Caenorhabditis elegans: one gene and its partners. The protein of the gene in region 3 purifies or fractionates together with the protein of the main gene of each other region. This does not show direct contact. Each region holds a gene or a part of one and is shown on either strand. Other genes may lie near its edges.

Region 1 (10,541 bases), 650 kb from region 3:
TCATCGTGTTAAGAAAAATGATTTTTCGGAGTTTTCTACATTTTTGGACATCTCAAAAACAGTTATTTCTTCGGATGAAAAAACGCCGAAAAAAATTAATTAGAAAATTTCTCTTTTTTTCTTGAATTAAAAAAAAAAAATCTTCAACACAAAATACATCTCACCTTTGATTTTCCAACATTCTGCACAATAACACTACGTGTTTTAGGTTCCAAATAATTGACAATTCCAAAATCAACTTCATTTAGACTTAATTGAACCTGTGGTAATTCTTCATTTGCTCGTCGATCAGCTTCTCGTATTGCCTCCTCGTATACATTATTCGCTCCACTTTCATTGATTTTCTTTACTTTCAAATTGAACATGGCTCGTACTGGCTTGTGATCGGATATTGTGATTGTATCAATACTCACCATAGGACGGCTGTAAATGAAACTTTCACTGATTTTTATTTATATTTATGATGAATATTGTGAAAACAACACAATTAGTGTTCAGGAAATATCAAAAATGAAATCAAGACTGCCACATAAAATATTTCGATCTAAAAACAAAACTAAAAACCTAAATTTTTCGAATACAGTTTTTTGGTCCGACAATTTTTTTTTTCAATTTTTTCCCAAAAAACGACAGCCTATTTTTTAAATTATTGTTAGCAAAAATATTTCTGCTGCAAAAATTGAAAAAAATGTATGACTTTCTTCTTTTTTTCTCGAATTTAGAGTTTTTTCTAGTTTTTAAATTTAAATAATATTTTATAAATAATAGTTTTGATATAAACTCACATTGATTCCAATCCAACTTGTGGATACTTTTTAAATGTTAAAATTCGATCAGTCCATGCAGGAACTCTTCCTTTTTCACTTGTATCCCATGTATTCGTTCCACAATCGTATTTATAAGTTGGTCGAAATGGTAACGTTGATGGTTCTTCGAAATCTTTGAAAACGGTACCACGAGCCATTTGTTCGCGGAGCTGACAATGTTGGAGCAAATCAGCAAATTTATCACTTGAAGCTATTCGTCGAACTTCGTCGTTTGAAATTCCATACATATCAGTGTTTAATCGATAATTCAAGTCTCCAAACCAGAAAACGACATCATGATCATAGAGGCACATTATTGGAACTTCAAGAGGACGATCACGCTGAAAATTTGAATTCTAGATATTTTACAATATGATTAACTGTTTGATTTTGTTTTTTAAAACATTTAAATTCGAAGACATCACAGAACAAAAACAAAAAATCGAACTTTTAAAAGCTCGACTTTCATTTTTGGTTAATCTGCTATATAATTGAAAAAACCGAAATAAAAAATAGAAAAATCGAATTTTTTGAGTTGGATTTTTCATTGCTTTCTCGATTTTTTTTTCGCTTTGCATATGAGAATAATTTTGGTTATTTTAAAGCAGAATCCTCAGTTTAAAAGTTTCTTTTTTTTTTAAATGAAAATCAACTCACCAAACCTTCCTGTTGACTTCTCGGATAAAATACCATATCATTGTAAATATCTCGAAAATCTTGATTTCTCCGTTCTAATTCATTGTTACCAGCTGCGAAATGAGCATTCACAAAGCAAACCCAAGTGTCATTCATTTTCATTGAAACTGCTGTTCCTCCTTTATTACCCAATTTGTTAACTAGAACTGATATTCCCGTTGCAACATATTTCACATTCACATCACTGACTCGTACTTTGCTATTAACCGCTTGAAAAACGATTACAAATATTCCAACGAGACGCATTGATCCTACCTGAAAAAAGATAGATAATGGGGTACGTTTGCAGATTTTTTTTTGAATAGATTCACAACTTTTTTTTTGGCTTTTTGGTCGGTTTCCAGTGCAATTTTCAAAAAATCGGTACATTGGAACAGCTTTTTTTGTTGATTTGAGTATCTTTTCAATCGATATGTTCAAAAAATCATAAAATTTGATTATTACTTATTAAGAGTGAAAGATAGATAGATTTTCAAAACTTTTGTTAAATGCTAAAAAGTGTGCGCCTTTAAAAACTACTGTGGTTGCAAACTTTCATTTCTGCAGATTTTTAATCGATTTTGAGGCAGTTTTTCGATAATAATATTTTATTGTTATATTTGAAAACTTTTTTATGAATTTTATTGAAAAATTATGCAAAATCAATGAAAATTCGGCAAACAGTGTACCGTTATTTTTGGCGCCTGCAAAATTTTGTTTTGTGTCTGGACAATATTAATAGAATTTTTTAACTTGTATTTTTTTTCCGTTTGACAGAATATATTTTTATACCAATTTTCAATAAACTGCTCACCACATTGAATTGCGTTCGTCCTCCTGGTAAAGAACAGTGAATCGCATCAACCCATCCTTCCATTTTCTTTGTATTGTCAATTATATAAGTTCCAACGGAAAGATCCATTTCTTGAAGACTGAAATTTTTAGTGGATTGAATACTTTAGCGTGTTTGTTTTTTAAAAATTCATTACTACTTTTTCCTTATCAAGAATACTTCCTTATCAATGAATATACTTCATAAACAAGCATGTAAAACTCACCCAACAGCATAAAATTCTGCGATATCCTCGGGTTTTTGAGAAAACCATGTGGGGAAAACTGACAATGGGCTTCTTCCATTCACATTAAATGTTGAAACACAAATTTTGACATCTTGAAAGGTGCAGAATCTGTAAAAAGGTAATTAAAATATTAGTTTAAGATTTTCAGAATAGTTTACTTATGCATCCATTCTCTCATAACTTCATCAACTTTTGCATCTCTTCCTTCTATCCAATTACATCGTTGTTTCGTGTAAAACGTCGTCGTCGCCATCGTCACTTTGTTTCGAAAGAGACGTTTTACGTCTTTGACGACGCTTCTCTTCCGATTTTCTCTGAAATAAAACCAAAATTGGCATTTTTATTTCAAAAAAAACTATCTTTAACGATAAGAAAACTACAGAGCCAAGCTAAATGGTAGTAAAATCAGGAAAAAAGTAAAACGTGATGAACAAATACGATGTGACCGTCTAGTTGTCTCGTCACTCTCCTATTGCCAGTTCTCTCTATCTCTCTTTAGTGTGCAAACACCGAATTGAACACCGTATCCATCAACACATTTCGAACCTATTCAGTTTTCCCAGCAATATAATACACAGTTTATGGGTTGTTTATATTCAAGTTTCTCCGTCTTTTTCTATTGGAAATGAAAGATGATAACTCTGCGAGCGAAAAGATGATCGGAGGTCGATTCGCATGAATTTCCCATCGGAAAATTGAAAATCAGTATTGATTGAAACAGGAAGAACCACAAACGAATGTGTTAATTTATCACTCTTTATTATGACGATTTGTTCTGAATCTGGAACATAAAACTCTGATTAATAAAACCAATAAATTTATTATTTTATTTATTCCGCAATTACTTTCTTTTTTTTTTTGATTTGACAACCCAAATTATATTTTGGAAATTCTATTGAACTTTCTATTTATTTTCTAATCAACGTCGAAAACCGGTAGATCCTGCTGTGATGCCTAAATTCTGTACAGATTTCTCAAAATTTTTAGCAGATTTTAAGCGGATTTTAAGCGGATTTGAGATTTTCCCAAATTTTTTTTAAGTACTGAAAATTTCAAAGAGAATCAGCAATCGACGGAAGAATGTTGATCCATTTGCAGAAGAAAACCGAGCAGTCAAATATCCCAAAAGATTACTGAAACTATTGTGTAATCAATTTTCAATGCCCTGAACGAATATTAAAATCAGAATCAAAGATCGTTGACAATGTTCGCAATAGTTGAAATACGAAACAATCAACCCGTTTTTCACTTTTTTGACATTTTTTCTCCAAAAAAAAAGCTAGATGAGGGGAAGAGTAGAAAGTAGTAGTATCCTTCGCCTACCACCACTACCAAAAAGCAACACACACCATATACATGTTGAAGAGACTGAGATGTTAAAGGGAAAAGAAGAAGAAGCTCGTTGTCGCTGTCGTCGTCTTCGAAGCCGTAGCACATCGAAATTGAATAAAAGGGGAAAGAAGTGGACACAAGAGACGCAGAAGAATGAGAAGAAGCCTGGAATACTGCTTCTACTGCTGATTGTGACAACTCGAGACGACGAGATCGATCCGTGAAGTGAAAAGAAGGAGAAGCAGCAGCAGTAGCAGCACACGCACACACTCACTCACGCATCTCTGACACACACATGCACACACATAGAGGGCTCTCGAAGCCCTCTCGGAGCCACAGAGTAATTGAGAGAGTGAGAGACGTTAGACTGCTCGATTATTGGAAATCATTGGGCTGTAGGGGACCCGGCGACTAGGCAGAGAAGGGAAGGCGCCGCTCTCGTCGCCTGCGCTATTGACTTTGCCTGTCTGCGTTTGAATTCAGGAAGACAGCTTCGTCGTATGTCTCACATTCTCACTCAAAATCCACACTCACACACACACGCGCACAAACCCTCACTCTCCTCACCCGCTCACATATACACACATAAGCACCCCCTCGCCCCCCTCTCCGCCCACCACGCACCACAGCAGTCCCCCATCCCCGGAGAAGAAAGAAATAGAGAACGAGAGAGTCAGAGAACTAGAGATCTAAGCATTTTGGCCTTACTATTTTATTATTTTTCATTCCTATCATCTCCATCATCGTTTACTGATCTGCAACCGTATGATACAGTTCTCAAATATTCAATTTGCAGATTATTATTCTAATATTTAATTCAAAAATATCAAAAGCTGTCGAGCTGATTGAGACACGCTGCTCTCAAACCCCGCATTTTGTATGATGCCACCGTTGACCAAGGTATTTCATTTGAAGTTCAATTTTCTTAAAATTTCTTTTGAAAATTTTAGATCGAGGTGCTCGCGAAGCGAGTGATGGAAGGTGCGCAATTGAAAACGCATAAATACTTCCGGATCGCCGTGCCTCATGCCATCACCGGTCAGCAATTGATAGCTCTCGTTCTTGAGCGAGTGAGTTTACTTTCCTCTCAAATACAGCAGGAGCACTTATTTGAAAACTTATAAAGCTTCTGACAAGAAAATCACAAAAATTATGAAAATAAATTTTTAATTTTTAACAGGGTGCTCCTGACGATGAGGCTGAAGCGAGTCATCTGGCAAGTTTGTTACTTCACCACGGTTACATGTTTCCAGTTATCGAACATGTAAGTTAAAGACTGCAGTTTTTCAGTGTTTAACTTAAGTATTTTAAATTAAAAATTAATTCAGGGCCAACCTTTCAAAGACGATGGAACGTTATACAGGCTTCAAAGGCCGTATTTTTGGCCTTCACAGGCTGAACTGGTTCCGGATGTTGAATATGGTAATTCCAAGAAAAGTTATTGTATCTGATCCACTATATTTCAGCCATTTACCTCAACAAGCGATTGCTCCGAAATGAGCAAAAACACGGGTTAGAAGAAGATGAAGTTGAGTCATTCAACAGGTATGGGACATTATTTCGGACATTAGGAAAAATTATTTAGTCAGAAAATATTGAACAATCCTCACGACTTAGAAATAAATTGGTAAAGCTTCGCCAAGAAATCTTACTGAGATCACGAAAAATGTCAAAGTGTACAGAGATTAGTTTTGGCATTTTTATGATTTCAGTTTTGGAGTCGAAAGCTATTATTTTTAACCTTTTAAAAATTGGGTTTTTAATTTTTTGAACGTGCATCGCTGCAGAATGAAAAATCGAAATAATAATTTAATTTTTTTTAGATTATTGAGTTATCTTTCTCGAAATCTGAAAGTTATCTCTGGTGATAGAAAAGTATTTTGAATTTTCAATACATATGGCATTCAAAAATAAATTTTCAGACTTGCCGATGTTCTCGCACACATGTGGGCTTTCATCGTTCAACAGTCTGAGCTTCAATTGAAGCAGCAAAAAGAAAAAAAGAAAGTGGACAAGGTAGTGTTCGATTCAGAAGAACGAGCGTTTTGGAAGATACGAAAACCAAGTCGTGGTGGACCAAATTTCCTAGAGGACCCTTATATGAAAATAGAAAAGAAAATACGACGGCAGAATGCACAAGGTTATAGATGTCTTATGGATCGATTACGATTTGCAATCAAGACAAAGCCATGGCTAAAAGCATTAAAAGCATCGGATACGTGAGTATATTCAATCCAATTGTAAACTTTTCCTAGCTGAATCGAATCAAAATATGTATTATTAAGATTGAATTTCGAACTGATAATGGATCAGATATCAAAAGACAATAGATTCAATTAAATAATTCGTGTTTCAGAATGGTGACGTGGGTTGACCAAAGAGCTGAATTCGATCCATTCCTTCACCCTCCACAACCATCCAATCCATGGATCAGTGATGAAGCTTCATTTTGGAATCAGCCTACTGACACGTAAATTATTATTTAATCTTTAATCTTTATTGCAAATACTTTTTCAGGTCAAGTGCCGAGATCCCTACCGAGAAACGGGTAAAACGATGGGGACTTTCTGTTCAAGAGCTTGTGAAAGATCCTATAGGACGGCAAGTGCTCGAAACATTTTTAGAATCCGAATTTTCGTCGGAAAATATACGGTTCTGGATAGCGATACAAGATTTGAAATATGCACCGAATGAGCAGATATACCAGAAAGCTGAAAGAATACGAGAAGAATTTTTGGCTCAAGGAGCACCTGCACAAGTAAATGTAGACAATAGAACCCTCGATCAGACATTGGAGTGTATTTCGAAAGCGAAAGATGCTTCACAAATGAGATTCGCATTCTATCATTCTGAAGAGCACGTGTTCACATTGATGGCAAAGGATTCATATCCACGTTTCGTCCGATCCCAAATCTACAAAGCAGTATTGACAGCAGCGCAACAGCACGGAACAAAGCGACTCGGGTGGCGCAACTTCGTATTCAACATGGGTACAACTAAAAAACCAGCAACGAGTAAACCAGCAAAGGCAAGATTTTCCAGGAAATTATGTATGAAAACTTTGATATCTTCAGCCGCAAGATTCCATCGGGACTGGTCAAGTTCTCCCAAAACAGCTATCGTCCGACTCGCTGCCAGTTCGACAGGCTCATGGGGTCAAGTAAGTTGTGGAAATATGTCAGAAAAATCTATTAAAATGGGACAATCCTACCACACGAACAATTAACTCCAAAACTGTTAAATTTATATATTAGTTAAGCTTTTGTTCAAATAGGATAAACTGGCGATATACACCTTTAAATATCGGCTAGTTTTTTTTGAGTTAGTATTCCCAATCATTTTTTCTGTAACCTGTTGGTGCTTAAATCTCCTGTCTTGGCAGTTGCCATGAGATTTTTTGGCCAAAGACTAATGACTCAAATCCATCAAAGCTAAACTCATGACCTACTCTCTTCAGCTCATTTCTTTATTTTGCAGACCGGATCCCGAATGACGTCATTCTCTTCTCACATCTCGTTTCTCTTTTCTGCGTGTACGTACGTGTCTGCGTCTCTCTGTATATTCTTTTTCACTTTTCCCTCTTCTTTCTCAAAAAAAAAACCAAATCAAATAACGACCATCAAAAAGGGAAATCAGTATCCTCTGCATCGGTTTTACACGCAAATTTAAATATTTCGAAGCGAACCATTTGATATGTGTATTATCAATGAACTTCTTCTCAAAATTAACAATCTCGAACCACCCAACACTGCATATTTTGACCTTATTTTCTCTTCCAAATCGATCGATAATACATGTAATTCCACAGTCTCTTCAGACTCTTCTAGTCCATCATAATCCACATCTCCTGCCAGCTTCTTCTTCATTTTCACGATATACTAATTTGTAATCCTATTTTCTCACAAAAACGTGTACAAAGTGTTATATTTCTTTCTATTACCCATATTATTTTAATCTTTTCAGAAAATCAATTTTTGTTTCCCTCATTCATTTCACACAGAGTTCTCCTGCTTTTTTGGCACACTTCTCGTTTTTTTTTCAAAATTTTAAAAGTATCTGTAAGGTACCGCTAGCGTATTTAGGTGTTTCAACCTAACTTTTTTCAATTATATCTACTCAAAAATAATTTGATTTGAAAATGGTAATTCGCACCAAAAATGACGATATCATAACGTCTCAGTTCTTTTTTTTTCCAAAAATCATATATAAATTTCATTTTCTCTTACCCTCTACCTGGTGTGATTGTCTCAAAAAAATCAACTTTCAGAACCGGAGTTGTTACATAATATATTATTAATGTGTCAGTATATCATTATTTTCAGCTTTTTGTAGGCGTTGATGTTCAATAAAATTATTTATTCTTATTTTTATGTCTGTGTTACACCTTAATATATATTCGAAACTATGGGGAACTCTGGGAATAAGAAACACAAGGAAAGGGTTTTTTGAAGAATAAAAATTTCTTATATTACATAGATGTCTGAAGATGAAAATTTTGCGGGAAAAAACAACCAAAATGTGCTACGACACGGGAAATTTTTGGAACAATAGAGATTTTGAATAAATTTACAGAATACCGATTATGAGCACGAACGGATTCCGCAACGGATCACCCAAAATCAAACAGTGGGAAAAGGTTTTAGTTCACTTCCATTAATAAAATTGTCTGGATATATCTAATCTTCCAATTTACAGAAAATCCAATATGTATTAAAAATTCACAACGAAAACCCGGGGACCCGGGGAAAACTATTGATTTATCAAAATTATGTTGATTTTTCGAAGAGAAAAAATATAAATAATTTCTTTTTTTTTAAATTGAACCTTTTCCCCGGAAAAATCAAAAAACAGACACCATTTTTTTGGTACTATAATTTCAAGTTTTAAACTGGTAAGAATAATCACACAGCAGGTGAAAATGCCTTCAGCCTGAAAGCTTTATACTAAATTGGAGTCACGGAATAGTTGAATAAAAAAATATCCTGGGGATATTAGCGATTCACCTATGCACTAGCTTCCTATTGTTTTTAATGCAATTATTTACAGTCTAAGCATCAAATATCTTGCAACTCTCAGTCAAATGAGTCAATTCAAAAGTGTTTTGTTTTGTTTCTATTCAAACTTGGCACTTTCTTATCCTTATTCCAAGAATACAATTAACAATACGTTGGAGTAATTACTGCTGACAGCCTGCTAGTTCCCACCCACTTTCAAGTATCATCCTGTGATGTACCATATGTTGCTCTTCTCAGCTCATTCCATTTATTCACACTTTATTTTCTTGATTCAACTATGCCTTCTGCCGATACAGAGTTCATACGAGTTATTCGCATCAAGAGTGCTAATGGTTCAGAGAAGATGCTTGAAATTCCAGCAAAACTTGATTTGGAGAGACCGAAGAGACCGCGTACTGTATTCACCGATGAGCAATTAGAGGTAAGGCAGAAAATGAAACTGTTGAGATTGTTTAAAAACGATTATCGTTCGAGAAGAAGTTAAAACAAAGCTCGAATTCAGTCACAGCAATCGCTACAGGTTCTTCATTTTACATATTTGTACATCTAATGTAGATCATGAAGTTTGTGACATTTCAAATTTTAAAATGAAGAGATTGCTACAAAATTCATCATAGGTGTTTTTGAGAATCACATTTTTCAGAAGCTAGAAGAATCATTCAACACTTCAGGCTATCTCAGTGGGTCGACTCGAGCAAAACTAGCGGAATCCCTTGGTCTTAGTGACAATCAGGTCAAAGTTTGGTTTCAAAATCGAAGAACCAAGCAGAAGAAAATCGATTCTAGGTGAGTCATTACTCTAATTTAACGGAATATTCTAGGAATTTCAGAGATCCTATAAAGCCGGAAACATTGAAACCTGCTGAAAACTATCAAAACGTCTATCAGAACTATCAAAACTATTGGACAGCCGCTGCATTTCTATCAAACAATGTCATTTCGTCATAATCATTTCGAATTTCAAAGCTACGATAAAAGGACAAAGGAAACTCACCTTTTACTGATAATCTTTCCTTTTTTGTCGCCTCGATTCGGGCTCGTTTGCTTTTCTTCTTGATGTCTGAAAATAATAAATTATAAAAGTGTTTAACATGGAACGAACGTTGGGAGAATTAATCACGATAGCTTGAGAAAAGAAGACAAATATCAAATTCACTGTTAATTTTCATTAATTATCCGAGAAAACATTTTTCGCTGCGGAAACATAATAAAAAGCCTAGGAGTTGAACGTTTCTAAATAATGCTACGTGGCGCCTTTTTTCTGCCTTCTTCCTATGTTAAATATGGAATGTGCAAGGGTCGTCACTTTTTGCGCACAAAGTGTCACAAAAAATTTAAAAAGTTGGGTGTGCACTTTCGTGTCTAACTTTGCTGTACCTGCACATTTTTCAATTTTCTTTTTTGTAGGAAATAGAGAATCGCTTTTTCTATCTTACTATCTAAATGGTTATTTGATTTGATTTTATCTTTTAAGAGAAATTCTTGATGAAACACGAAAAAATCACTTTTTTCGCGTGTCGTGTCGCTTTTTTTGCACACGTTTAGAGGTCATAGTATAAAATGTTTTTGATAAGGTAACTGTATATCTGGGATTGTTAAAAATTTTTAGTTTTTGCAATTTCATCTATTTTGAA
Region 2 (10,186 bases), 1.8 Mb from region 3:
TTGGGGAGTCGATGGAGCTGCTCAGTTTTCGAGAATTGCTCATGGACGACACAACCTGTATCGGATTTCCTGCCGTTCTCACATTTGAAAAATGATACCTGACACGTGACGGTTCCTTCCTTGTTACTTTATAAAGTAACCAGCCGTGGTCCGCACCTCCGGCGCGGCCCCCGACTTCTGGAGCTGAAAACTAATTTTTCTGAAGCTACCGTAATCATACAGTACTCCTACCGTGCCACTATTGTACCACTACAGTACCCCGACTATATCCCTACACTAAGCCCAACTCACTATCCCTCCAGAAGCCAAAACGTCACAGACTACAAAGACTACATAGACTACAAACTATGTACAAACGGAATGAGCGCTTTATATATAGTAAATGATAGTTACTTTATAAAGTAATGTAGCTGAAGGAATGAAATTTTGGAATGTCGCCAACATGATGTCTCCTTCACAGTTCTTGCATTCTTTTTTGATTCCTTCCACGTGTGCTCTCAATACTTCAACTTTACGTCATCAACACATTCTGAATAGCGGCTTTTCATTGCAATATGCAGGATCAGGTTGGTTTTGGAATGCTCTCCGTTTCAAGTGCGCACTTGTCTCCGCCATCTCTTTTGTCGTCTTCTACAGTACGCGTCAAGCTTGTCTACAACTGCAAACAGACACACAAATTTGGAGCCGGATTCCTGGTCACGCCTACTTTTTTGATTACGACCTGAGACAGAACAGTCAAAACGAAACATTTTCAAACTTGCCACTAGTAGGTCAGGTCGTCAGATTCTTTGCCAAGGTTCGTTTCAACGTTTCAATAACATTCAAAGTTTTTTAAAACTTCTTTAAATTTTCCAAAATCAGAGAGCCTTTGCAAACGAGTTGCGCAAATTTTTGTGCATTTAGTGCATGTTTACAATTTTCGAATTTGTGCAATTTACAAAATATGTAAGCAATGTGTTTTTGACCGAGTTTTGAGCAATTTTCAAAGATTGCAAAAACTCCAACGTTTAACATTATTCAGTTTATGTTTTTTCTAGTTATTAAAAAATCCTAAAAGGGTAATGGTAAAAATTTGGGGTGGCCATTTGCCTTGCCATTGGTGAGCTGAATCTGGATTAAGCAGAAGTCTTCTGAAAATCAGAGTAAAATAGGGCAGTCCATTTTAGACTTTCTGGTGCAAATATCTCAAAAACTCAATTGTAGAAAAAATATTAGATTGGTTCTGCTGACGTTGTAAAATGTCAAATGTTATACCTTGAGTGGTCACTCGGAATTAGTTATCTAAAAATTCAAAATAAAAAAAACTTCACAACCATGTAATTTCCTTCTATCAAAATTTTATGAACCGAAACTATTCGGCATGTGATGACGTGGCACCTGCCAGGTCATCTTGTGACCCCTCTCTCTCTCTTCCACCTTTTTAACCTCAAAAATGAGTAAAAGAAGAGGCAATTGAGCGTGTACCAATATCATGTTGACATGAAAGACACACCTAGGTTATCAAAGCTATAAAAAGGAACAAATAATTCTTAAACTTTAGTACTTTCACGGCAGAAAACTTCTCTATTCCAGAATGTGGCGTTTCAATTCCTCCTCTTCAATTAAATCTATAATGTTACTGTTAACTGTTTTTATTATGATGGCAAATTGTGAGCAATCTGAGGAAGTTCTCACACGATCCAAGAGAAGTTATTATGGTGGATATGATATGTATGGGTGAGTTTATATATGGAATTGCAATGGAATAGACATACATTTAAAACTACTTGCTTTTCAATATTTTAAAAGTGAGATTATACAGAGTAGTATTTTTTGGTAGGTTAAAAATTTTATTTATCTGAGGGAACATAAAACCAAAACTTCAAAATGTTAATCCACAAGAGAAAAGTTAAGCCAAAATTAGCCAGCTCCGGTAAAATCCGAGCTAAAAACTAAATTTCAAAAACACTATTTTTACCAAATCACTTCGCTGTATTGTTTTAAAAAATCGGCAATTCAAATGTAGCTTTTTAGAGACAATACACTTGTCTTATATTTGCAGCAAAAAATATAATTTGTACAGTACACTAAACTTTGAAGTTCGAGGCGGCAGAAGGCAGGCATTAGGCTCTAGATAGGTATGTAGACACTTACTTGAAGACAATCCTTTGATCATGGAAGCCTTCGTTCATGTTGATTCCATTGCAATTCATAATTTCTAAGCATAACGAGCAATTGGTACGTATCACTGTAGGGGTTCTTGTTGCAGTGACGATTTTTGGTATGCCGGAAGGATTATTGGTATAATTGTTGGAATATGCCTATTGCTCTTTTGTTGTTGCTTACCATGTGTGTGTATTGCTGGAATTTGGTTCGCTGGATGGTTTGGGCTCAGAGGAAAAAATCAAAGAAAGAATACTCAACAAGGTATTTCAACTTGTCAATTTTAATTTTTCCAGTGGATATATTCTAGACAAAATTGCATTTCAGTTCAATCAAATTTCTTGAATTTCATAGATTTGAGACATTTCTAACTGCTTCACATACAAACTAAAAAATTCAGTAAAAATAGCCAATATTTCAGTTTAGTCTCATCTCCTATCATTGCCCAATCTGCTCCTGTTCCAATTCCTGTCAATTATGATAATATTCCTGGTAATGCTAATTATATTCAACACACTCGTCAAGCTCCACGTCAAATCCACGTGGACTCATCACCAAGAGATTCTGAAATATCTCGTGTCATGGTTCCTGGTGATCAGGTCATGTTCTCTGCTGAAGATCGTTATTATACCTCGTCGACGGCTCCGGCAACTGCTCACCGACCTGATGCCTACAATGTTTCTCGATATTAATTTTTCTGTCTTTCACTTTTTCTGCTTGTATATTACGCTTGAATAAATATTTTGAGTCTTAAAATTATTGGCACTGAAACTACCGGTGTACAAGAAGTGTCTTACAGCTACAGCTAGTCTAGATTTCTGGTTTTAGTGGGGAATTTATTTAAACCACTTCTATAGTGATAACATTGTTAATTATCAATATCATAGTAAAGCTTTTCAGAAAAAAGTTGAATATGTTTATGCGCTGTCGAAAAGTGGTAAATTCTCATTTTCACACATCATAACTCTGCAAGTAGACAGAAAAATATGTTTTATACGAGTTTCCTATTTTTCTTATGCCTTTTTTTATTATAATATTGTAGGTTTTAGAGCATTCCACAATGCTATTCCCTGCGAAGGATAAAGTTGCAAAAATTTGACAATTTTCCATAACTTATTTTTTCAAAAAACCTAAAACGATTGTGGGACTTTTTAAACTGGTTTTACTCAACTTTTAAGCTAACCTAGCACTTTTTTATAATTAATTTCACTTCACAAAAACCATCAAGACATGTGCATTGCCTAATTTTAACTCATCCCGTTCTTCGAGCCACTCTCTTTTCCACATCTCTTCCGTCTCTTTTCATCTTTTTCCCAGAAACCGCGACGCGACCGCATTGCATTCTCTTTCCATTGCAAAAAGGACCGCTCGGCAAAACGAGAAAAGAAATAGAGAAAATAGTGAAGAGGGAGAAGCGAGACATAGCGGAGTAAGGCACGCAAATAGAATTCATTGCACCATGATTTCGGGCCCTCGACGGCTTTTTGTCGTGGCGAATATAGTTTTGTCTTAATCAATACCATCAAATTTATGATAATTTAATGATAATGTAGCCACATCCATCCTATTTTTGAGCATGTTCAACAGAATAACTTTGCAAAAAAGGCTTTTACTTTTATTTTTTATAAACGTTACTTATAAAATGTGTGAAACTCCGATCATTGCAAAACCTTAGGCAAATATAAATTAATAGTAATGGTAGTACGATATTTTGAATTACCTTATCAACATGTTTTTGGTTTAAAATCAAATTCTTTTTACATTGTGCTCGTTTCAATTGTGCCAAACTGTTGTCTAATTTGTTGTTTCAAATAAAAAATTAAAATCCAAAATCATGTAAATGATCTTGATCTTCCTATATATTTCTTACATTTCTAGGCATGTCCTTTAAGAATTTGGCTACTTCAAACTTATTTTTTTAATAGCAATGTTTCAGGAAAAATGTGCCTCTAAACCTCAAACAAACCGCCCATCTCTAATTGTTCTATTCAAATTCATTTTCTTCAACCCTCAGTCTTCTCTTCCTTTTTTTGCATAATTCGTCTTCTGATCTCAAAAAGAAACGCAATTTGAATGAGCACCATTGCTGGAGAATCGTCTTCCTCGTCGAAAATGCCAGAAAACTCTCAGCCAACAACAACCGAAAAAGGGTATTTGTACATTTTACATTACAAAGGGTTACACTACATTATTTCAGATCGGAATATTTAGAACAATTGGCAAATGAAGCCGAAGAGCTTAGAAAGAAATTGGATCAAGAGAGGCACAAGCTTAATGACATTCCTAGTAAGTATTTGAAAAAAATTAAAAAGATAATTTATTAGAATACTTCAATTTAAAAAGAGGGACTTTGAAGAAGAACACTACTAAAAAATTGAACTTTACAATTCCTAGGTTAGAAATCCTCCGGAGTCTTTTTTCTTTGTTTTTTTATTGAAAAAATAAACTTTTGAATTAAAAGCTCACAATCAGTGAGGATATTGAATAAAAATATCAATGCGGTTCTTCATAACCGAATATTATAATTGCCCAAATATCAATACACACCAAAAATTACGTCTAAGTTTTGGTAAATTGTCAAATCTAGGTGAAGTTGGACTTTTTGAGAACTTGTTTGACTGAAAAAAGTTGAAAAAAGTTTTTGAAAACTTTAAAGAAATTTGAGTTAAATAATTTGATGAACAAAAAGATACCAGATATGCTTTGTGATATTTGCATAATTCTAAATGTTTTCTCTTTGACTTTTTTGAGGTTATGCCTAATTTACTATTACCAAGAACTACAGTAATCCCAAAACGCACTAAGTAGTTTTTTACATCCTAAGTAATTTTCAGTTCAACAAGCAGCCGAACGACTTGACGTTATGGGAGCTCTTGGTGTAAAACAGCGTCGAATTTTAAAAGGACACGTGGGAAAAGTATTATGCATGGATTGGTCATTGGATAAAAGACATATCGTCTCTTCATCTCAGGTTGGTTTAAAATATGACTTACAAAAGATTCAGTAGTCTTCAAAAATTGAAACCTCGATTTCTAAAATGAATTTGCTCAAATTAGTAAATTTTAGGACGGGAAAGTGATTGTATGGGATGGATTTACTACGAATAAGGAACATGCTCTTACGATGCCAACAACTTGGGTTATGGCATGTGCATTCTCTCCATCGAGTCAAATGATCGCTTGCGGGTAAGATTTCTTTCAAATACTTCAAAGCTTTCAAAAAATACAAACGGTAGTACACGGACTTATAGTGTTCATGAGAATTTATTGTTTTTTTTTTCAAATTATAAAAGAGCTCTTACAGACGGAATTTTCAAAAATTGGCTCATGTATACTTTACCAATTTTGAAGCTTTCATGTTATTAATTAAAAATTTTTATTATTATTTTTTGAATTTTCAAAAATTCCAATTTTACAGAGGACTTGATAATAAATGCAGTGTCGTTCCACTTTCTTTTGAAGATGATATAATTCAAAAGAAAAGACAAGTAGCAACTCATACTTCTTATATGTCATGTTGTACATTCCTTCGTTCGGATAATCTTATTTTAACTGGAAGTGGAGATTCAACATGTGCTATTTGGGATGTTGAAAGTGGACAACTTATTCAGGTTTTTTATTCTCGCGAATCGGAAACCCAATTCAAAAATTCAGAATTTCCATGGTCATACTGGTGATGTATTTGCAATCGATGTTCCAAAATGTGATACTGGAAATACATTTATTTCCGCAGGAGCTGACAAACATTCTCTTGTATGGGATATTCGTTCAGGACAATGTGTACAATCATTTGAAGGACATGAAGCTGATATTAATACTGTTCGATTTCATCCAAATGGTGATGCATTTGCAACTGGATCTGATGATGCTACTGTAAGTCACAAGTGTTTAAACTTCTTCATTATTGAAAATTGGAGAAGGGATGGGAAATTATGGAAGCCTTGCACGACCATGTGTCGAATTACGCAGCTAGTGTACTCCTCGAGAAGAAGTGACAATATGCCCACTTCTCCTCGGGGAGTACACGAGCTGCGTAAATCGACACATGGCCGTGCAAGAGAATCTTAATTAAATTTCACGGTTATTCTTCCATTTTTCGAAAATTATAGTTTGGGAGAAAGTCGCGAGAGTTGCTTGTTTTGTCTGAAAATATTACTTTTTCCAGTGTCGCTTATTCGATCTTCGAGCAGATCGTCAAGTATGTGTGTATGAAAAAGAATCAATCTTGTTCCCCGTAAATGGAGTCGATTTCAGTTTGAGCGGTACGTTTAAATCTTCACAAAAACGTATAGTCCAAATCAATTCAATGCATCTCTGAAATTCACAGAACTAAACTTTTCACTCTAACTATTAAAAAATTACAGGTCGTATTCTATTTGCTGGTTATGGTGATTATCGTGTCGGTGTATGGGATTCGCTGAAATGCGCCCGTCATTCAGTACTTTATGGACATGAGAATCGTATTAGTTGCCTCCGAACTTCTCCTGATGGAACAGCCGTCTGCTCGGCGAGCTGGGATTGCACAATTCGCATTTGGGCTTGATTATTTAATATTAATTTTTCTCTTACAATTTTTGAGCTTTATGTCACTTTACTCATCCCCCTTCCCACCAGTCTCTATCCCTGTACTATTATCTAACCATCCCACTATTTTCTCCTATCTCAACTTTCTAGTCACAAATACTGTAAAGTACTCGTTCATTGCTGAATGATGTAAATAGAATTCACTAAATACACCTGTTAAAATACAATTCAAAAAGGCAAGGGTGAACTGTGAGGAAAGGAAAATTACATAACAAAAAAGAAAGAAGTGTGGAAAGTAGAGTATTCAATGAGCAACGTATGGCAAATTATCAGAGAATATTAAAAGGAAGAAATTCAGTGAATTGGTTATAAAGAGAAAAGTGGAAATTTTGATAAAACTGTTGCCCCGAAGATTTGATGAAGAAATGTGAAAATTATAAGTCAAATACTTATGCGCAGCAGAAGCATCTGACGCAGTTGATGATGATCGAGAGAATCGTGCAGACGGCAAGGAAGAGAAGAAGAACAGTAACCCAATCCTGAAAGAAACAAATTTAGAAATTAACATATTTAAATTTCAGCAGATCTTTTGAAAAATGAATTATTACCTGAAGACGGAAGCAACACTGATCAGCAATCTGTCCGCAGCACTTGAAGTACCAGAAAACGTTCTCTTCTGGGCAAGCTTGTCCGACAACTGGAAGTGGGCATGCCAATGGACTCCTTCTGATCGTGAGTGGCTCAATCGATTTGACGTAGTCGAGAAGATCATCTCCTTCGGCACTGACTGATGGGGCACAGGCAAGAAGTGCCATAGCGAAGAGGAACAGTGGAAGAGTGTATGACGACATTTCTGAAATTGCAAAAATGTTCAAAAAAAAGAAACGAATAAGAAATAGTTTTCAAATGATAGAAAATAAATCGAAGCAAGGGAGAAATGAGATGGGAAAGAAGAAAATGATGAGTAGATGGAAATGGAATTGAATCGGATTACTGCAACTAGTCTCGGTAGCAGATAGAGTAAGATTGAATAACGGAAAAAAGCAGAGTTTAGCTTTCAGATGGCGAATTTGCCTGACGCGGTTCCGCAATTATTCCCGATGTAGTCCAATGTAACAACAGGTTTCACTCTATAATTTACTGTTATGTAATAGAAAGTAAAAATGTAAATGTTCTGACTACCTATTTTGTAGAATTTATATTCTACAACAGTAGTAACTAGCTTTCAAGAAAAGTTGCATTGAATATGAGATTGGCAAATATGTTTTGGAATTTGTTTGCCATTGTTACCTATTTGCAAATATATTCCTGTGTAAAAACATCGTCAGTAGTTAGAACAATAATTAAAAATGCAAATGCAAAAGCTGTGGTTCAATAGAAACAGAAAAACCTACAAAATCCACAAAGCAAATTTTTTTTCTAACTAGATAAATCTTTTGGTGTATGCCAATTGTACACCTTTAAATCGGTTTTCGAAACGTTTAGAAAGTGACTGACGGTCACTGAGAAGGTCAAACCAATGATGACTGCGACTTTGATTTCCAAATGTTGTAAGATCGATACAAGGTTGATACAATTCACAATTGCAGGTTGGAAACGAGGAGAAAGGACGACGAAAACAAAAAGGCCGGCTATTAGCTAAATCAAACTGACGGCTAGCAAGAAATCCATGCTAGAGAAAGTGAACAATTGAAATAAAAAAGAAAAGAAAGAAACGTCGCACTTTTTTCGAACAATTCGGAAACAAAACATTATTGCGAAATCAAAAATTTGAAACTTGTTTCTGAAAATTTTCTAGCGTTTTATACTTGTTGTATGTGAAGAAAGAACAACGCATACAGTTGTGATTCATAGCTCAATGTGTAAAAAAAGAGTGACTGAACAGTGGCTAGTAATATAAATGCAAATAAGAGAGACAGAACGAACCGTTGAAGAACGAAGTAAAAAAATCGGTTGGTCATCCGTCACGGCTTCTTCCTTCCTTTCTTTCATCTCTCAATTTCCGTTGAATACGAAAATGAGAAGGATGGGGTGTAGATCTGCTATTTTCACTACCCAAAAGAGGTTATCATATAGGAAAGCGAAAGGTGACATGATTGAAAGGGCTGCTGACCCGAAAAAGCCGAAAATCGACCCACAAAGAAAATGGCTAATCACCCTTTCTTCTCTGCAGGGTTTCATTAAAACCTTCAGCTCTTCTCGTTTCCCTTTTAAATATTTTCGACGAGAATATGAACACTGTGAGAGATATTTAGGGAAAGAAACATGACACTATGTCGGCCTTCTGATGCATAACTGACGATTTTTTTTCATCCAAAAAACCAGGAGTACATAACTAAAAACATGAAGGTTTCGACCACAAGTAGCCGGAGAAGAAGACCAAATGAGACAATCAAGATAGAAATGTCGTTGAAAACCAATCGAATTGGGGCACACCCAAAAATGTGAACATGTAGGAAGGTTCGTTGTTTAGATGGCTATGAAGATGACGGTTATTGTTAGGACACAAGAGGGAAGAAAAGAGGAGAAGGACAAATAACGATATTGACTCTATCAAAAGGGTATCACACAGTTATGGTTTTTGTGAGACTCGTAAGTATTAAACAACATTAACTATCGTGCGCACAACACAAAGCGCGTTATTTACGGACCAATCGATGTGTGTGGGGACCGCGAATAGTGTCCATAAAGGAGACGCCGGTGGTTGATAAAAAGGAATGGTGGACGACGACGTCCTTGACGAGTCGCTAATGTGAAAAGAAAATATTGATTGTTGGTTGCCACAGTCAGGTAGCTGGCTGAATGAAATGAAAAATGGAGTTTCTACAAACAAAGAGAATCAGGCAGAGATAGCATTTTTTGAGACGAAAAGTGAGAATTTTTCTGTTTGGGAACCTTAATTAAAACTTGAAATTCTATCTTAAACCTGAAGATTTAATTAATTAATTCCAAAATGATCCTTAAGATCTTTTATAATTCTCGTTACTTTTTTTCAATTTCACATTCATCATACAAAAAATCGAGAGACAAAAATTTGAAAAAAAACTGCCTTTTATTTCTAATTCAAAATGAATTAAGGTACATGAATATCTCAAACATTTGAGGAGATCAATATAAGTTCAACATAGCAGACTTTTTTATTCAAAAAATTATGTTTTTTGGTACATTGGCGAAGGATAGAGACACAGATACGAGAACGCTAAAACCGCGATTTAGATGTATAAAATGTAGCGGGGAGAATGGTTGAATAACCCAAGAAGAACCTGTCCTATCGTGCGTATTAGGCACCCAACTGGTCACGGACGACGGTGTCTGCGACGACGACGGCCAATTCGTTCGAATCGATTCGGATTCAGCTGACTTAGAGAATGGAGAATTAAAGAAAATATTTTTGATGACTGACTGATTATTACACATATAAGTGGAAGGGCAGATTTCCGAAAAATAGAAATGAAACGCGTTTCGAGTGGTTTTCTAAATAAAACAAAATGTTGCGCAATCGGAAAAGTCAATTCATGCAT
Region 3 (11,171 bases):
AAATCGTCGTCCACAGTACTATGGAACATGGCGAAAGAAGTCAAAAATTGTATCCGGATCGTGTCCATTGGCAGAAGAAATTGGTATTGATTATAATGTGAGCTTGTCTGCCAATCAGCGAAAAAAAATCTTAAATTGATAAATTTCAGGTTGTATCGGATGACGAGTGGGAAGACGAACCTTCTGATGGTGAAGAATGCAATTCCGATGATGATGCTGTTAGTTTTCTTTTAATTTCAGTTTCTTTTTAAATCAATAATTATGATCAAGATTTCAATATATTTTGACACATTTAACTTGATTATTTTTCAGGAAAAGGATAACGACGATGACGATGGTGGTGAGGAAGATGATGGATTCTTTGTTCCACCGTGTTATCTTTCGGATGGAGAAGGTGATGAAGATTCGACATCTGATAATGACATTGCTGGAGATAAAAAGAAGGAAAAACAACCAAAAAGAATCACAATTGATTCGGATGATGATGAGAATTCAACAGATGCAGCCGAACGAAAAGCTCGTCTTGCTCAACGTGCCGAAGATTGGGCAAAGAGAACCGGTAAAAAGGAACTGGCAATGAAGCCAAGAGCTGTTGGACCTGTTTTTAATAATTGTGATGATCAACCAGAAGAATTTAAGTTTATGATTGCAGTCAAGTTCTACTAATCATTTCCGAAAGCTATACTAGAATCGGATTGACAGTTTTAGTTATTCTACTGTCTAATTTTTTATTTAAAATTCCAATCCTTTTTAAATATGGTTTTCTTTCTTTTTGACTGTGAATGTCTCCCTTGCGTCCCGTAGTATTTATCATTTTCTGTTCGTATATTCCCTTCTCCTAACCAGAATTTCATCTAAATTTATGATTATTTTCAAATTTAATTTCCCGAATAATTTTAAAACTTGTATTTTCTGGTGTATTTTTCATTCTCAAAGCCAAAATGGTGGACGAGAAGAAGAAGGAAAAATGAAGGAAAAAAAGAAGAGGAAGCCCCTTTCGTACACACACACACACACACACGCATATACGTACAAAATAACGAGAGAGCCAGACGACGAGAGCTCTTCGGGGAAGAAACAAGCATGCGAGACGCAGATACGTAGACTACGAGTTGCGTGCGAAAGAGACTACGCGTCGCGTGTCCCGCGCACGCGACGCGTCCCCTTGCTTCTTCGAGCTCTCGATGTATGGGGGTCCTTTGAAGCTTTTGGGTTTCTTGGCACTTCTTGGAAGATCTTTCATAGAATAGTTTTAGCCATTTTTGTGGTTATATTTAATACTTAACATCGTTCATCTGATCTGAAAAAAAAAGAAGATAAATTTGATATTCAAATTCCTCACTTATTTGCCAATTAGATTTTAATTGCTCTCTTCAAACATTCATTTTTTAAAAAGATAATTATGTTCAAAGTACACTGAAAAGGAAAATAATTCACACATTTCGGATCTTTATGGAACATTCCTGAAAATGTTACCGATTTTTTGGCATTTTTTCGTTGATAATTGTCAAGTTTTATACTTATCAAACTGTTATTCTTATCTATACAATTTTCAAATATACCTGTATCTACCAAATCTACCAATTTACTATGCCCTGTTCTATATGTAACCCCGCCTTCTTTCTGGTATAAATGCCAAATTTGTTTTTTAAGTTGCAAAACCCCCTTCTTAAAAATATCTGAGTGGTATTTTCTAAAACTAAATGATTATTTTAAAACTGTTTCATACATGTAGGAAAAGTAAGCTTCACCTATTTTTTGAGGCATTTTATTTTTTTATAATGCGATCGGTATTTCTATAGCTCGGAGCAATTTAAAATTTTATTTTTCGTTTTTTTTAAATATTAATATAATGTACATTAGTTTCTATGAAGTTGAAACTATAAAGTTTTCATTTGGATTTGCAGTTTATTTTGGAAATCTCAATACTATTTTTAAATGAAATTCATTTCCTTGCTACGCTCCAATAAAACCTACATTGTAAGACTGTAAAACTAGATGATTTAATTAGATGTAGGTTACAACTATAAATCAATCAATTCTCTGCAAAAAATACGCACTCCTTCTGTCTCTCTTTCTATATGTATCTCACTGGCTCCAATGCTCTCTCAATGCTTCCTCAAGTCATTATCGATTCTCTGCATCTATGAGTCTCTCTCTCCGCCACTTTCTTTCTCGTCGCAGCTTCACTGAGCCACGCAGAGCAAGAGCAGGGGGAGCAATGCGCCCTCCTTGTGCTCTTTTTCTCTCTGTATCTCTCTCACTCTCTAATATCTCGCCCTTTCTACACAAAATGTGTGTGCATCCATCCATTTCATGCTTCTTCTTCTTCTTCTTCTTTACCACCGAAAAGCAACACAAATAGAAAAAAGACGAAAATAAGAGAATGAGAGACACAGAGAAGATATGTATACAAGCAGAGAATCGATCATCTATGCTTGACCAAAAGCTGAAATTGGTAATAAAAAGGAACTGTAATAAACATTTTAAAGTAGTGTTGCTATGAAAATTCTAGTAAGATTCAGCACTGTCAAAATATTAATTCAAAACATTACCAAAATTTTTAAATAATCTAGAATAGAGCTATGATCTAATACTATAAAATACCGACATTATTTTCTAGAACAAATTAGAATTTCAAATACTATTTTTCAATTACAAATTCTCATAATCCCCAGTACACGAAAAATGATGGGTTTTTTGAAATGTCAATTCAAATTGAAAAACCATATATTTCAATCCTGATTGAGTATGTCGATGAGCATTCATTTTTTAGAACCTCCTTCCCAATTAAATTTTCAATAGACGCAAAACGTACTCACAATAATTTGGATCTTTTTCTGAATAACACACCAGAGACTAATTCTGAGAACTGAATCTATTTAATATTTAAAAAATTAGTGAACAACAATTATCATTCATATCCATGAATTATTGCTTTCTTTTTCTTACAGTCCCTAAAGTAAATTTTTTATTTTACGGTTCCAATAATTAAACTAATTATTTTCAATTTTGGAGCTACATTAACCCTGTCGCTTATATATGAACCACAACTTTCAGTTTTACAATAAATATTTCAAAACTGAACTTATATTTCTACTCACAGGTTAAAAAAAACTGAATTCCTTTGAGCCTAAAAATTATTATGTAATAATTTTGAAGTAACTCTAACTATGGGTGTTGTAAAAATATTTTTTTCAGTGTTTTTTTTAAGAAAAAAAAGGAAACATTGGATACCTATAAAAAGACGAGCAATAAAAAATACCCGGGTAACTATTAAGAATATGCTGACTTTTATCAAGAATATGCTGATTATAATAAGAAATATAGCAACATTATAATTTTTAAACAAAAAAATGCAATCTAAAAATGTCTCGCTTTAAAAAACCTAAAATATTTCTCTAACCACCTATACAGTTCTTTTACTAATTCTTCTCAAGTCTTTCTATTTCAAATTAAATATTAATTTTTACAGAAACTGTTTTGACAATTACGTGCTTGTTTGACCATTCACCTCCTCCTCCCCCACCCGGTCCTCCTCGCTCCCCAAATTTCTTGGCTGACATTTCCGTTCAGGAGCTCGTCAGCTCGGCGCGCAGCCCGCAGGAGGTGTGGTGGGTGGTCGGAGGACTCAATCTTTGTTCTTCTGCCACGAGGAGATCGAGAATTGTAGAAGAATAAACAAAAAAAGAATCAAAATAAGAAATATACAATAATCAAGACAAACCACGGAAACTGTAGCTGTAGTGTGATCTTCTAAAACAACACAAAAGCTTCACCACACCGCAAACGTTTATCATTGGTCTCGGTTTCTCGACGTCTCCATTCTTTTTCTCTATTTCTCTTAATCTCTACTACTGTCTCGTACTTGCTCGATTTGGACACACCGCGGTTAGGCTTCTTTGAATAAGGTGGCACTAACCGCGGAATGCGACAGCATTCCATGGCCAATCCAAAGAAAATACAGGAGGTTTGTTTCCATTTTTAAATTAAACTGACAGTGATTACGTGGCCAACAAAAGTTGATGTCCGAACTTTCCACTATTCGCGAAACTCTATCTGTGACCTGAAAATTATCATCATAAAAATAATATAAATCAACCGTGTAATTTTAAAAGGAGGTGCATAGTCAGTAGTAGTTCAGTTCACAAATACATTTATAATAGTCTAAAATGCCCAAATACCATAAATAAACTCTCAAAAATGTTGCTGAGTTTCCAAATTTTTCAGTCAACGTTTTGGTAAATTGCCAATTTTCAAAATGTGGACTTTTTGATTATGAGTATTTTTGTAGGTTTAAACTCCTAGAATGGTTAAGTATGTACAAACAATTAAAACGCAATACAAATATAAAACTAGCAGAACAATTTTTTTGGTAGTCTTCCAGAATTATGATGACTGAAAACTGAGCTTTCACCTTTTTTTACTGTGCATATAAACTTTTAAGTATAATTTTGAAAAGGTTTACTATGATTTTTGAATAATTTCTCAACTTCAATAAAATAGACTTTTGAAATAACATTTTCGAGAAATTGGTAAATTGCCAATTTTTGTAAAGAATGAATAATTTCATACCAAAACGTCCAACTTCTTCAATGTTTGAATTCAAATTATCGAAACAAAATTAGAAAAACCGTAGAAAAAAAGGGTATAGTTATCTACACATGTATAGTTTTTATCAGAAACAATTATCTCCCAAAGGCCAATTTTAGTAAGAAAACTCGACTTTAAAAAGTAAACATTATAAAAGAAAAAATAAATTATCTAAAAATATTAAAATTGATGAAAAGAAAAACAAATTTGCTTGAAACTCGAAAATAACAGAAATATTTCAAAAATCTTCAAAAAGAGTGGGAATCAAAAATCCCTCCATTCCGATCAGAATATGTCTCTATTTTTCTTTTCGTTTACCATACCATCACAGATGTTTGACTAAATACTTGAGAAAACGAAGCACAAAAACTGTTCACGGATACCTCAGATCGTCACCGCCAATCGCCATCCGCCCCCGCTCACTTGTCGGTGATCCGATATATCCCTCGGGGGAGGCGGAGAAATGGGCGGAGATGACAAACAATCGGGGGCGGGGATTGGGTGTGCAGCCACGTGTCATGATTTTTAAAAATGGAAATAAGAGAAATGAGTACTGTTTTACAGCTGGTGCACGAGTGCAACGTGCAACTTGCACTCTTCCGTGTAGCAACACAAGGAATCGGAACCGCCCAAGATGGTGCATCATTAAGGAGGTTTGTTGCTTTTTCCCCTTTCTTTTTTATTTTATCTTCAAGTTGTTTTTTTTTTCAAAAAATCTATATATCGAATATTACAGGGAAGTCGAAACAGCGGGTCGAGCCTGTCAGAAAGCAGTTGAAGCAGCAAATAATGTTGTTCTTCCGCAGTTAAGGGCAGATGGTAAGAATATATTTGAAACTAAAAAAAAGGTTAATTTGGGAGAATAATTAAAAAAAAATCAAAGACGTTGATATGATAATTCTTGTTTTAATTTTTTATTCAAAAAAATTAAGTTTTGAATGTTCACTATTACAATGTGCTGTAATTTCATAATTATAAAAATTAAAACTTTTCGAAAACATTTTTTATCAAGATCTATTTTTATCAGCATTAATTTGTTAAAAAAATGCTTAAATATTATAGAAATGATATTTTTCAAAATTGTGCCATGAATTTTTTCCCATTCTGTTTCAAGAGTAGTTCGATCGAAATTATTTCTGATTGTGAGCAAAAGTAATGAGACAGTTTTATTTTTACAATTTTTGTGATTGAATATTATTTCTTGTTTTTATTTGAAAAATATAAACTCTTTGTAGCTTCAAAAATATTAACTTTTTAAGGTTTAATCGTTTTAAAAATAAATTTCAGAAGCAGAAATAGCTCGTCATGGATCATTATTTATTGGATGTGTTGGTGCATATCTGATAGAAATGAAACGTTGTGTAAAGTTGGAAAAAACATTTCCTGCTCCAACAGAACCATCAGTAACACCTCAACAAGTGGAAAGAGTTGAAGTCATTTTGGATACTCTTGAGAATTTAATAACGGTGCATTATTCGACAAATGAGCAACCGTGTTTGGATAAGGTAAGACTTTTGTTTTAAATATTGAAAACTACGTGCAATAGAGAATTATTAAATAATATCGGTTACTGTAACTCAATAGCTCGAGAGTTTCTGAACTAACTTAATTCAAGTCGATGTTCAAGGCATCGTCCTTGGGAATTTTGTAAAACAACACTCATAACCAAATATTTAACATAAACTATTTTTTTGGGCCAAGCTTGGGCAAGCCGTGACAATGAGGAAATTTTTTTAATTAATTATATGTATAGTTTTAAGATAACCGAATATTATAGAACAATAGTTCCACACATTTTTTGAATTTTTTTAGTTTCAGTAAAAAAATATGCAATTACGCACAGCCAATTTGCACCTATCATAACTTTAAAAGTCGATTTAAAAAGTTTTTTCTCTAGGTTTTCAAAAAGTATTATGCTTCAACTATTTATATTTGAAAATTTTAGAGGTTCTAACTTGATTGACTTTATTTTTAAATTTCAAAGTTTTCAAGTTTTCAAAAAGTTTGGCAATTTACCAAAACTATGAATAAATGTTTCGAAAATTCTAAATCATTTTACTTAAGATATTTCTCTTGTTAATTCATTCCGAGTATATTTTGACGAAATCCCCACTGGCACTTTCAAATACAAAATAATATATTTCACAACTCTTCGGCAAAAAGTTCAACGTTGCCCTAAATAATGTTAAATATTTCAGTTGCAAGTAACACCACGAAGAAGGAGAGCCACATCGTGTCGACCGCAGTGCGTATGTTCAAAATTGAAAACGAGTTATGCATGAAAAATGAATAATGAGCTCGAATTTCACAATTATCAAAACGGATCAACAAGCCCCGCCCACTTTTCTTTCGGTTTTCTTCACGTTTTTCTCTACGCCAATGTTTCTTTCTTATAGGTAAGTATTTGAAGTTTTGATCTGAATTCTTTAGAGAAATAAATTTAAAAAATGTTATGCAAAAAATTAAATAACGTCTGTGAACTTAAATTATTGAAAATGAGTTGTAATGAAATTTTTTTCAAAAAATTTTAAAGGAAAAATTGAGTAAAAATTACGAGTCTTCTTCCCAATGCATTGGAAAATAATATTTTTTCAGAAAATTAATTTTTGAACAATCTAGTGTACGCTAATAGCGTTTAATAATCTTTTTAAAAAATTAAATTGCTTTTGAGGTGTAGTATTGTGGGAATTTTTCTTTAAAATACCCAAACTAGTCTGAATTTCCAAAAAGTAAAAAAACAAAAACAAAAAAAAATTTACTCGATTTTCAAATTATGATTAAAAAAAAAAATATCTTGAAACTTCCTCGAAAAATAAGAACTGCAAGACCAATCAGCGAATCGCCCCGCCCACTTTTGCACTAATGAAATTAGAAGTGGGCGTGGCGTTTCCTATTGGAGGAAATTCATTCCCAATTTTTAGAGTTAGGTATTTTTCATTTGTACTGATTTTCTTCTGGATATTTTAAAAGCGAACTTTCCATTTACTCTACACCACCTTAAAAATGTAGAACTTCATAGCTACAGTAACCTTACAGTAACCCAAACATTTTACAGGTGCAGACATTGCTTGGCTTCATCTCCATCTGGTGTCTTCCATTCTTAAAGCCACAAAAAAGTGTTTTCTTCAAATTTTAAATTTAAATAGTTGTAAAATCGCCTAGTAGTTTTGTAACTTTTCCATATTTTTAAAAAAATTTCTTCTAGTCAATTACCTCAAATAGGTTAACTCAAACCTGTAAAAAGTGAACTGATTCTGACCAAAATATTCCCCCAAAAAATTGAATTTTTTGCGACATTTTGCATATTTATTGTCTAAGTCGAAGATTGTCGATTTTGATTTTTCAAATTTGAAAAAAAAATCGATCGATAATCAACATTTCCGTTTTATTTACATCATCAAAGCTCAAAAAATATAATATATTCATTTCATACCTGTTGGCGCCTGACCTTTCCCGGAAAATTTAAAGTTTTTATTATAATAATAGGCATAATTTCTTCCCTCAAATTACAAAATAATGTCTTTTTTTGCATAATTTTTTCCTCTTTCTCAACATTTTTCATGAATTTTTTTTCTGAAAATTTGTACATCGTATCAATGTATTTTTGTGCAAAAAAAAACTACCAACTACCCCTTTCGTTTCCAACCCACCCACAATTTGATCAAAGTTTGTCTTTTTTTTGTCTGAATTTGAAAAATAAATTGAAAATTCATATTGCAGGCGGTGTATTTTACATGAGATCGGGCGATAAAAATGATATTGGGATGACTTGGAACAAAAATTGAAAGAAACAAATTAAATAAATAACAAAACAATATAACATGTCCCGTTTTCATCGCATAGATAGTCTATGTTATGAAATAGGGAGACTTCTAGATTTGTTTCAACTTGGAAACATTTAACTAATCGTCGTTTTCTTCGGCTTCAGAAGGCACGTAGTCCTCATCAACTTCTTCAACTTTTTCCTGAACTTTCTTGACTTCAACCTGCAAAACGCTATTTTGAAGCATGGAAATATTAATTCAATGATTCTAAATTATATATCACAGACAATTTAAAAATTACAGAATTAGAAAAATAAACTACACAACTAGAATTCGAAAGAATTTCCAAAAAAAAAATCCAGTCGGTTTTGGAAAATTGTTTTAGTCGACTTCCAAAATTTTGAGTGACAAAAACTGAGCAATTGTCACTTTTTGATTTCCACTTTTTTTTGAAACATTTTACTATTATATTTGGTAATTTTGGCACCATAGACGTAGTTTTTTTAAACCTACGTTGTGCGATTTCTGATGAAAAACAAAGGAGATCGATCCACATTCGAAGACGGCTCGGAGCACATTATCAGCCACCTGAAAATTAAAATATTTAAAAATAAAGATAATAAATACAAACTTTTCTAGCTGATTTCTGAGAATGAAACCAATTCGATAAATCACTTGCACAGTCCGCATTGGTTGGTGGATCAACACTTTCAACTCCTTGAATACATCTTTTACATTTTAATCTGAAAGAAATTTATACAATTGTACATTATAATGCATAACATTATTATAACTATCAGAAGAAAAATTCACCAAAAATAAAATCGGTTTTATAAAAAATATTATTTTCATTCTGATACTTACTTTTCATGTGTATCCGATGCCACTGTTGATTCCAACTTGAAGAGTTCTCGAAGTTGCTCGGAACTAAAATGACGAGCTACGTCTTCACCCGCATCAACCTGAAATTTTTAAGATAACTATTAAATACCCAGATACTGATAATAATAACCACATAATAATCTGCAATTTTCACTCTAAAATTAAGTTAGTTACCGCGTCTCGACACGACCAATTTTTCAATTAAAAATGGCGAGCGCCTTTAAAGAGTACCGTGGTTCTAGGTTTTTTTTCAGAATTTTCAGCAAATTAAGATACATGTAATACAGTATTTGAAAAGGCGAAAAAGAAATAGCAAAAAATTAAAAAAAAGTTTCACGATAACGAGGAATTGAGAACTACAGTACTCCTGAAAGGCGCACACTCATTTGCATTTGAGAAAAGTCGAAGCGGGGAACCGAATTTTTTGACAAAATCGCAAAATTTAACATTTTAGTTCTAGTAGTCTTTAGAACATTTTTAGATTATATGAACAAGAGGAAATCTTACCACACACGATGACAATGCTTTTTTATGTGTCTGACGTTGAAACATTTTCTCTTCAATTGATCCAGTTGCTAAAAGTCTATAGATGAAACACATTTTCTTCTGTCCATCTCTCCAAACTCTCGCCATTGCTTGATCGTCATTCGCTGGATTCCAATCCGGATCAAACATAACTAATCGATTGGCTCCAATAAGATTTAGACCACATCCACCAGCTTTCGAAGAAAGAAGGAAACAGAAGATAGTGCTGGCTGGATCATTGAATGTATCGACAATCTTGGAACGTTGTTTGATTGACATTGAACCATCAAGGCGCACGAAATCATAGCCACGAAGTTTGCACAGCTGAAAAGTGAAGAAGTTTCAAAGTTTAAGTGACCACGTTATAAGTCGGTCTAGATTTTAAAGGTGGTGAATTTGCTTCAAAAAATCCAAAATAGTCATACATTCCAAAAAACCCACAAAAGAAAGCAAACAAATCGCGAAAAAAAAAACAAATCGACATTTTAAATTCCTTGTTTTTTTGGAAAGTGGGCTTCTCATTTTGAAGGAAATTCAAACAGAACATTTAGCCGAACATGGAAAATTGATTTTTTAAAGTTGACTTTTTTTTTCGTTTTCTCCGTTGTGAATTTTCTGAATTTGAGACTATTTATGATTTTTTGAAGCGAACTCCACATTTAAGTCGGTCTAGATTTTTATCATAAATCATTTTTTTTTTGGAAATTCGCTTACCTCCATAAATTGATCAATTGTCTGTGTGTAGTTTGATACGAGAACAAACTTGTCATCAGTTGTTTTGCGAGTGACTGCGAGAATATAATCGAGAACTTTCATTTTTCCAGAAAACGATGGATCAAATGATTTCGGGTTAAATGATTCAGGGAATATGGATAGACATTCTGAAAATTATTTTCAGAAGTTTGTGAAAAACGGTGTCGGTTTTTCGATTTTTCACTAAAATCGTAAATCGAAACCTTTTTTTTGTTTTTCCGATATTAAAAATTTTTTTGAATTTTCGAAAAATATCTTAAAATTTTGGTTTTTTCTGAAGAATATTATACGTTTTCTTTTTTTTTTCATCAGCATAAACAAAGCTTTACGAAACATTGAAATTTATAGTTAAATTTTGAACTTTTTTTTCCGATTTTAAATGCTCCGATTTTTTCTTGATTTTGAATACATTTTTATAAATCTGAAATTCTAAACTCACTGTTTCTGAACCTATTATCAGGTTTTTGAAACTCATCATAAACCAAATATGGATGATTGCAAAGCTTTTTGAGATGAGTGATAAACGAAAGAGCAGATGCGGTGGCACCCTAAAAACAATTTATTTGTATTTTTTGAATTTTCAAACAAAATACCTTGTCCTTTTCGACAATGCGGTTTTGTTTTTCACATTCGATAAGTTTATTGTAGAGTGTC

The links.
Region 1: the proteins of rsbp-1 (region 3) and eat-16 purify together in Caenorhabditis elegans (affinity purification with western blotting, with the first as the bait; one study listed by BioGRID). This does not show direct contact.
Region 2: the proteins of rsbp-1 (region 3) and gpb-2 purify together in Caenorhabditis elegans (affinity purification with western blotting, with the first as the bait; one study listed by BioGRID). This does not show direct contact.

The regions. Positions count from the first base shown.
Region 1 is NC_003279.8:9,718,033-9,728,573, forward strand, and holds eat-16 (Regulator of G-protein signaling 7), read left to right. Parts: upstream 1-4,688; 5' UTR 4,689-4,771; coding exon 4,772-4,792; intron 4,793-4,842; coding exon 4,843-4,962; intron 4,963-5,072; coding exon 5,073-5,156; intron 5,157-5,220; coding exon 5,221-5,314; intron 5,315-5,358; coding exon 5,359-5,437; intron 5,438-5,814; coding exon 5,815-6,111; intron 6,112-6,248; coding exon 6,249-6,362; intron 6,363-6,409; coding exon 6,410-6,920; intron 6,921-6,934; coding exon of another isoform or gene 6,935-6,948; exon of another isoform or gene 6,949-6,966; coding exon 6,967-7,052; intron 7,053-7,369; coding exon 7,370-7,385; 3' UTR 7,386-8,252; downstream 8,253-10,541. Other genes in the region: ocrl-1 (Rho-GAP domain-containing protein), read right to left, coding at 165-423, 786-1,147, 1,464-1,757, 2,296-2,413, 2,540-2,668, 2,719-2,813; Homeobox protein ceh-5, read left to right, coding at 9,185-9,328, 9,551-9,693, 9,738-9,855.
Region 2 is NC_003279.8:7,314,978-7,325,163, reverse strand, and holds gpb-2 (Guanine nucleotide-binding protein subunit beta-2), read left to right. Parts: upstream 1-4,078; 5' UTR 4,079-4,215; coding exon 4,216-4,292; intron 4,293-4,339; coding exon 4,340-4,428; intron 4,429-4,976; coding exon 4,977-5,113; intron 5,114-5,208; coding exon 5,209-5,327; intron 5,328-5,559; coding exon 5,560-5,752; intron 5,753-5,795; coding exon 5,796-6,014; intron 6,015-6,306; coding exon 6,307-6,403; intron 6,404-6,505; coding exon 6,506-6,684; 3' UTR 6,685-6,874; downstream 6,875-10,186. Other genes in the region: F52A8.3 (uncharacterized protein), read left to right, coding at 1,574-1,716, 2,249-2,406, 2,569-2,834; F52A8.1 (DUF2650 domain-containing protein), read right to left, coding at 7,115-7,204, 7,274-7,516. UniProt on the Caenorhabditis elegans protein: Guanine nucleotide-binding proteins (G proteins) are involved as a modulator or transducer in various transmembrane signaling systems.
Region 3 is NC_003279.8:9,067,382-9,078,552, reverse strand, and holds rsbp-1 (Abi_C domain-containing protein), read left to right. Parts: upstream 1-3,475; 5' UTR 3,476-3,483; coding exon of another isoform or gene 3,484-3,681; 5' UTR 3,682-3,928; coding exon 3,929-3,970; exon of another isoform or gene 3,971-3,972; intron 3,973-4,567; exon of another isoform or gene 4,568-4,588; intron 4,589-5,157; coding exon 5,158-5,246; intron 5,247-5,329; coding exon 5,330-5,412; intron 5,413-5,880; coding exon 5,881-6,098; intron 6,099-6,791; coding exon 6,792-6,875; 3' UTR 6,876-6,989; intron 6,990-7,648; 3' UTR 7,649-7,703; downstream 7,704-11,171. Other genes in the region: chaf-1 (Chromatin assembly factor 1 subunit A dimerization domain-containing protein), read left to right, coding at 1-97, 150-218, 313-666; T06D10.8 (uncharacterized protein), read left to right, coding at 3,484-3,681; rad-54.L (DNA repair and recombination protein RAD54-like), read right to left, coding at 8,496-8,579, 8,871-8,945, 8,989-9,100, 9,222-9,319, 9,747-10,088, 10,479-10,645, 10,957-11,065, 11,111-11,171.